2 linked regions of the Drosophila melanogaster genome follow. The protein of the gene in region 1 interacts with the protein of each later gene in a pairwise test. Each region holds a gene or a part of one and is shown in the gene's direction. Other genes may lie near its edges.

Region 1 (4,580 bases):
ACGAAGAGCAAGAAAGCTGAAACGAAAACGCCGACCGCCTTTGAAATGTCCTTGCAGCAATAGCAATAGCGATAGCGATAGCAATCCTTAGACGACCCAAATACTGGCCATTCAGTATGGGCCACGGAAATGCAAATTCTCCAAGTCCCGGGCTCTGGTGCTCCACTTTGGTGCTCAGCGTGGGAGTTGTCCCTATTGATTTAATTCTAGCCATCCAGTGACGCAATTCCGTGGAGTTGAACGCTCGGCGGACAAATAATCCAGAGGCGAAAACCCCAAGGGGTTGTTTTCCTTTATTTTTCTTGTTTTTTTTTTTTTGTGTTTTTATTTCGACGGTTCTTGGCAGCCGAATATATGGGAATTTCTGGCAGTCAAAGGCGCCACAATGACTGCGCATAGTTTTATGTACGCTAACGGTTTTGAGTGAGTTTTCCACGTTGTCATTGGGCTGGTTTCGTTCATCTGTTTGTTGCCCCATTGCAGCTGGGTGTCATGACCTAGACAATTTTCGGTCTGCATAGATTTCTATCTGCCAGAAGGTCAATGCGGCGTATACTTAACGTGCAATGAGATAAGTCCTCATTAGCATATAATGAGTAATAAGGGTTTGTGTGGTGAGAAAGAAAGATAGAAATTTCACTACCACTCACATCTAATAATATCCAAATGAGACGACTTTGACAATGACTCAACTTCAAATGGCTGGAAAGTACGCAAAATGAAACCAAAAAAAAAACTGACCTGAAGCGCCTGAATTTGACCAGCTGGCTAATATTAGTCAACAGCTTGGCAAGTAAACAAAGCAGAGTTAGTCCCCAAATAAAACAAAATCCGCACTCTGGCTTGTTAGTTTCCCTCGTTTTCGGACACGAAACGGAAAGGGGAAAATGAAGTTGCAAGGTTGCACAATATGGGGATGATGATGTGCCAGAACATTCGTGGCAGACATTGAATCACTTATAGCTAATACCGAAATCAAAATCAAACATTGTCATCAGCAAGATATTCGCAAGCAAATATCGTTCATCTACTATGCCAACTGAGTCAACAGCATGAGGTAATGCTCCCAACTCCGGACTATTCAGGCCGGGAGCCGTCTTTGTCCATATCTCGGTACATGGTACATGGAAAAACGCTTGTGTTAACAAGTACTCTGTGCACTTGAGGCTGTCCTCTGCTCCATAGCACAATTGGCATTCATTGTCCCGCCGTTTTGACCCACTGATCGTGTTACGGGGCATTTAATCAGCATTAGCTGAAAATGAGCAGCACTTGGCCACTTCACTTGCCTGTGGGAACACCCAAGTGCTTCCTAGTCAGGCCGACGCACAAACATGGCCAATTGTGTCGGCCAATTGAGTCTTGCAGCGAAAGAAAGTGGCGAAAAGATATCGCATGAAGAGCAAACCACTCAACCACAAGTGGGTGTCTTAAGCATCGACTTGTTGTTGCGAATTGAATTCCTCAATTAATTTCGATGGCATTTCTAGGAAATCACTTGAGGGGGCGAGCACACATTTTGTCACCAGATTGCTAATTTTTATAGATCGTTAGGCTCAAAATATTAATAGCTGGTGATGAAAGAAATTTTTGATCAATGAATTTCCACACAGGAAAAGGGAACTTGAAAATAGTTCAAAACTGGCAAAATATTTGCCAGTAAAAACTATAACAAAATCATGTATTCTTTTAAAACTAAATAACAATTGATGTTTTTCTTTAAATATATATGATGCTATTAAGTTTTTTCATCATTAAAGCAAATATTGTATTTCAGACTTGCTAACTTACATTCATATTTACATTTTTTCGAAACTTTTATCACTTTTAAAAGAACCGCCAGAGTTTTGAAATCTGATAGAATTGGTGGCAATACTGGCCAGTGACTATGCAGCCCTGTACCAACGCCACTTAGTATTATTCGGTATTGCCACACCCGACGTACACGGTCACACTGAAGATGCAACAATAAATCCACGAGACAAATTTGTTAAAAACATTTTGTTAATATAGGCAGTTATTTGCGATTTTAAGCCGCGATGAACAGCAGCAATGACTTGTCGGACGAGCTAATACGCCGCCTCAGCGTTGGCGGTGCCCTGGGTAAGTGGAATGATGCCATTTCCCAATTGGGACGCACCTGTTGTTACACCGAATTATTAATTGTAAACAATTTGCAGAAGAAGTGATTGCCAGCGAAATGTTCGAGGATAGCATCGATGTGGAGACGGAGGCGGAGCCGGACGACATCATCATCGTGCACATGGACATCCGGGAGCCGCTCAGCATGCTCAAGTGAGTCTGGCGAAGACTGGCCCCCATTAGTCATGCAAATAACCCTCATTTCTACCCACAGATCACTTGTTGAGCAAAAGATAGGAGTGTGCCTGAATTACTACACGTTTTGGCTGCAGGACGCGCAGGAGGTGAGTCTATCTGCGGCGTAATAAAATGTTTACCTAAGCCCCCACTCTCCTGCAGCTGGAATCGCACAAGAATCTCGTGGACCAATGCGTCAAGGGAGAAGGCCTGGTCCAGATCAACGTGCAGATACAAACTATTCGCAAGCGCATTAACATCGCCGACGTCCTGAAGCCCACGGAGGCCGCACTGGCTGCCTTGGCCGAGGAGGTGGTGGGCCAGCTCTCGCCGCCGGAAACGGCCAGCCAGAAGAGTTCCTCCAGCGAAAGCCCCATCAAAACCCCACTCAAGCGCATGCACAAGGAAGACTCCGAAGAGGAATCCGTCGAGGGCAAGGATGTCAAGCCAGTCTTGAATTGGGTCCTGGACAGCAAGTTTAAGCGAGAACAAATACGCCTGAAGATACCCGAGGCGGCCAACGAATGGACACACGCACACGTGACGTACTGGCTGGAGTGGGCCGTCAAGCAGTTCGAACTAGTTGGCATCAACATGAGCGACTGGCAAATGAATGGCCAGGAACTCTGCGCAATGACGCACGAGGAATTCAATCAGAAGCTGCCCCGTGATCCAGGCAACATCTTCTGGACCCACCTCCAGCTGCTAAAAGAATGTAATTTCGTGTCCGTAGTGCACAAACGAGCGGAGGAGCAGCGTAAGCCCAAGCAACCAAGAATCATGTCGGCCAATTCCATATCGACCAATTCAGGGGGCAGCCTTTCGCTTGAACAGCGGATTATGCGGAAATCCTATCAGTCAGTCAAGAGCTCTGATTGTAAGTAGACGTGTGAATGTTACACCAAAGCATGAGCTAACAATATCTACTTCGTTCACAGCCGTTGAAAGTACTACGTCATCCATGAATCCATCAAACTACACTACCATCGGTTCCGGGAATAATGGACAAGTGCAGCTATGGCAGTTCCTACTCGAAATACTCACCGACTGCGAGCACACGGACGTTATTGAGTGGGTGGGCACCGAGGGAGAATTTAAGCTCACTGACCCGGATCGAGTGGCACGCCTTTGGGGCGAGAAGAAAAACAAACCCGCTATGAACTACGAAAAGCTATCAAGGGCTCTCCGCTACTATTACGATGGGGATATGATCTCCAAGGTGTCCGGCAAGCGATTCGCATACAAATTTGACTGCGATTTGAAGCTATTGATCGGCTATGATGCGAATGAGCTATCCACGCTGGTCAGCGAGGGGAAAACGGCGCCCGAGCGCGTAGCCGCAACGGAAACAATTACAGAAGACACGTGACATGGCGAGCTGAAGCTCAAGGAGGAACCCGACATACTCTGGAAGTACGAGGAGCCTTAGCGTTGGCTGACTTGGTCGGATGACGGCGCCTGGTTAATAATACAAATTGTTACATATTTTACAATCCTAAGGCACACGATTTTATTATCCATTTCGTATTCGCTAAGGTTTATAATCTCTGTCTACATAAGCTATAGCTATAAGTATCGCGTTTATACTGCTAATCATCTTAGTTATTATCTGAATAGTATTTCTATAGTGTGTATATTGAATATTGTTCGTTACATGATTGTTGCGATTTTTGTAAAATCCATAAAACTAAATTCATTTCCACGCGATTTCCATTTGCATTTGCATTAGCTCCTTCTCCTCGGCATCGTTGTGTGTTGATGGTTTTGTTTGTGATTTTACGTGACTAGTTTGCTTGCTTAACTGATCTAACTAAGCTCTAAGCGTGGGCATTTAGCGGCTCCGGCTAAACGGCCTCCCAGTTAGCTTGTCGAAGTCGATGATGGCCTGTCGGAATGTGCACGCAAATGCTCCATTCCCCCAGCTGAACTGGCGCTAGACTCGAACGGCTAGCGCCGCCAGCCGGGGTAATACTTAGTTTGCATTAAGTTTTGAGTATGAGTTTTGTGATGCGGTTACAGCTCCGTGGTGATCTCGTCCTGCGGTCGAAAGCCCAGCTTGTAGAACTCGTCCTCCAGCCACAGCGAGCTGGCGTTGAGATCAGAGATGAGATTGCCGCTCTTCAGCGTGTTGAAACTGCTGCCGAAAGGATCCGAAGCCCGCGGCTCCTCGAACTCGTGCAGGCTGATCAGCGAGCCAAACAGGTGTAGCTTCTGCTGCGCCGAGGCACTGCTGCTCCGATCGCCGGCCATCAGTTCGCCCA
Region 2 (3,532 bases), on another chromosome or scaffold:
TGGGTAGGTTTTGGGTTTTGAATGCATTTCGAGTAAGGGTTTAGATAAGTATGATTCCATACCAAGTAGGCCTTTATAACGACTTCAGTGTCGGGCCTTAAGCTCTATGGCTTAGTACATTCGTTTTTCGTTACCGATTTCAAACAATTGAACTTGTAAAAATAAAAGTATTAAAGCTAACTAAAAATTTTAAGTATATACAACTGCCGCAGTAACGCAGGATACCAATAACCCATTGACGTAATGCATTCAGCCGGTAGGAGCAGTGGGCAAAGTGCGGGCTCAACACCCCGAGGTGGAGGACCCAACACCATCTCCGGGGCCACAGTGCGTTCCAAGTTAGCGGCACCTCTATCGACGCAGACGGCGGGAACACGGCGAACTGTTCACGGCGGAGCGGGCGATGGGGGAACCGATGCGGCTTGGAAGCAGACCGGTCGTCGCCTTGGCAAGCATAATCCACCTTCTCGGCTGGTCCAGCCCACGGTAGCCTCTTCGCTGAGGGCCAGCAGCAACAGGCAGACGGCCAAGCAGAAGTTCGAGAGAGCGAGAGGACATGAGAAGTCCAGATTAGTGGTGCCCTTGGCCAAGGACACCGAAACGGAAGTCAGGAAGCCAACGAAACAGCGTGTGATGTCGCAAGCGGCCAAACAGGCGGCACGGGATCGTCTCTGGCCCAGCAAACCGGCGGGCGTGGGTTTGAACTCGAATTTCCGCAAGAATAGGCAGCCAGTGCCAGAGGATTCCAATATTTTGCCGGATGTCGAGGAGGAGTCAGAATCGAAGGCGTCCAAGTCTCAGCAGCTACTGGAGACCGGCGTCCAGACGAATGAGTCTGAGATCCTCGATCATAAGCTAATCCTTGGCGAGGTGAAGATGGTATGCCCCTCCGCGCAGCTGGTCGATCAAATAGATCGGGAACGGCTCGAGCTTAAGGAGGAAAGAGAGCGACAATCATCGCGCAGGTTTGCTGCTCACGAGCAGCAGGAGGAACTGCATCTGGACGAACTGAAGGAGTTCTCGTTCCGGAATGCCGTGACCAAGAGGGCGCCCAAGAAGCCACCAACGCACCAGTACGCTCGCTATGATAATCAGTATCAGAACGTTTTCAAGTCCATGGACGATTTCTTCAGCCGGGTCCAAAACTCTATGCCCAAATCAGAGTCCGTGTCCACCATCCAGGATCGCATCAAGCGCAAGGAAGAGGAGCTGCTCAGGCTCTTCGACAACGTCGAGCTAAACGAATAATCTAAAAACTATAGGAAATTCTATATCAAATTGTCTGTGTCGTGCACGTAAAGTAGTAGTCCTTTTCAATTCAATGGTCATTTATGACTTTTAATGGGTGCTTGGGTTTTATGATATATGAGTGGTATGTTCTATAAAAAAAAAGAATTTTGGACTTCAAAACTGAGACTAACTGCCGATACAAATCAAGAATATATATATATATACGTTTAAGAACTGGTTATTTAGGTTATAACTTTGAGGCTTATTTTACTCCAACAACATTATATCGCCACTGTTTATGATCCAATAAAAGCCGTCTGAGCTAACTAATGGCTTGGAACCACACCTTTTGGGGAAAATTCAGCGTCAGCAAGTACACAGACATTAACTGAAGTCGTATTTAAATTGAGCTTAGCCAAGCGGCAATGGAGTGCCATACTAGCCAGGCCAGCACCAGCACCAGCACCAGCAGCTGACACTTTCTCTCTGGGCCGAAAGCGGGGTCAAGACGCTTTCATGACGGGCGGTTCTTCAGTCAACGCTGGCAACTGATCGCGCGAGCAATGGAAAATACGCCTCTCAAGTTTCCACACGAAATTCGCGATGTGGAGGAGTCCACCAATGCTGAGCTATTGGATCACTTCCATGGTATGTTTATAGCGCGCAAATGGCTTGTGATGCACCTAGTATATAAAAAATAAAAAAAAAAAAACAGGTGAGCGAACTGGCTTCGTTCAGGTCGGATCGGAGGGTTACTTCTTTCCGCACAAGTACAAGGACGAGGCCGAGCGGTACTACAACTTTGAGGCACGGCCGGATGACGTGTGGATAGCCACGGTGCCCAGATCGGGCACCACTTGGACGCAGGAGCTCATTTGGCTGGTGGCCAATGGGCTGGATTTTGAGCATGCCCAGGAGCGACCACTAACCGAACGCTTTCCATTCTTTGAGTGAGTGCTTGTCGCGCGATCCTATCTTAATTAAGTGAACTCCAACCGCCCTTAGATTTCCGCTCTTTGTGCATCCCAAAATTAAGGAAGAGCTGCAGGAGGAAAACCGAGACTCGGCTGAAGCTCTGGAGTTCATTGAGAAGATAGCTCGACCGGGTTACGAGGCTTTGAGCGAAATACCACGCTCGCAGCGACGGTTTATCAAAACGCATTTCCCCTTTTCTCTAATGCCGCCTAGTGTTCTCGAAAAGAAGTGCAAGGTGATCTATGTGGTTCGTGATCCCAAGGATGTTGCAGTTTCCTACTACCATTTGAACAGACTCTTCCGCACCCAAGGATACGTCGGAGATTTTGAGCGTTACTGGCATTATTTCCAAAACGGATTAAGTAAGTGATCCTTCGATGGAGTTGCCATCCTTAACCAACTATCTTTCAGATCCCTGGCTGCCCTATTACAGTCACGTTAAGGAGGCGCGGGAGCATGCCCATTTGTCCAATGTACTCTTTCTGCGCTACGAAGACATGTTGGCTGATCTGCCAGGTGCAATCAACAGCATAGCCAGCTTCTTAGAGTGTCCACCGAAACCCGAGGATATGGATAGGCTACTCGATCATCTGAGCATCAGAAGCTTCCGTGAGAACAAGTCCGTAAACATGCACGAAATGGCTTCCGTTGGCGTTCTCAACAAAGGAGAGGCAGGATTCGTGCGCAGCGGAGCCAAGACAGCGTATCAGCCGCAACAGGAGTTCGTGGAGAATCCGAAGCTTTTGAAGAGCGCCAACGAGTGGGTGGAACAGAATATTAAATCATTCAAGACCATATGAAATACCTGACTTTGTTGGCTATCTTTACTGGTGTTTTTCTTTTTTGGTTTTGAATTGAAACGGAACTAGACTATGACTAACGTATTTGCACATTGAAACTATCCACGCTCGCACTAGCGATCTGCTTGTGGATTTCGTTGACCTCCGCCTGGGTTAAGGTGCGCTCCATATGGCGATAAACAATGCGGAAGCACACGCTCGATTTCCCCGTTTTCGGGTGCTTAAACTTGTCCACCAGACTGATCTGTAAGAAAAGTAAAGTATATGAGAAATACTCGTAACATATGATACGTTTGGGATAGCTAAGACCAACCTGCTCCACCATATCACCAGCTACAGAGCGGACTAGATCGTAAAAGTCGTTCGGCGAGAAGCCGGCATCCACCTCAATGTCCTGGGGCAGCCAGAACGACAAGTCATTCGTGCACTGCGGATAGTGGGAGATGGGCTTGTACTTGGGCAGATTGTGCAGATCCTTTTCGCTAAACTGCGACAGAAAGCCACTGTCGTTCGACCAGAAGAGCCGG

Evidence for each region.
Region 2: the proteins of Ets97D (region 1) and St4 interact in a two-hybrid assay, tested with the Drosophila melanogaster proteins (one large-scale study listed by BioGRID).

Annotation. Positions count from the first base shown.
Region 1 is NT_033777.3:26,910,220-26,914,799, reverse strand, and holds Ets97D (Ets at 97D), read left to right. Parts: upstream 1-1,913; 5' UTR 1,914-2,039; coding exon 2,040-2,103; intron 2,104-2,180; coding exon 2,181-2,295; intron 2,296-2,356; coding exon 2,357-2,426; intron 2,427-2,481; coding exon 2,482-3,196; intron 3,197-3,257; coding exon 3,258-3,688; coding exon of another isoform or gene 3,689-3,748; 3' UTR 3,749-4,025; downstream 4,026-4,580. Other genes in the region: T48 (transcript 48), read right to left, coding at 4,333-4,580.
Region 2 is NT_033778.4:13,969,389-13,972,920, reverse strand, and holds St4 (sulfotransferase 4), read left to right. Parts: upstream 1-1,657; 5' UTR 1,658-1,793; coding exon 1,794-1,878; intron 1,879-1,945; coding exon 1,946-2,180; intron 2,181-2,235; coding exon 2,236-2,567; intron 2,568-2,616; coding exon 2,617-3,005; 3' UTR 3,006-3,011; downstream 3,012-3,532. Other genes in the region: CG18568 (uncharacterized protein), read left to right, coding at 244-1,248; PheRS-m (Phenylalanyl-tRNA synthetase, mitochondrial), read right to left, coding at 3,082-3,249, 3,319-3,532.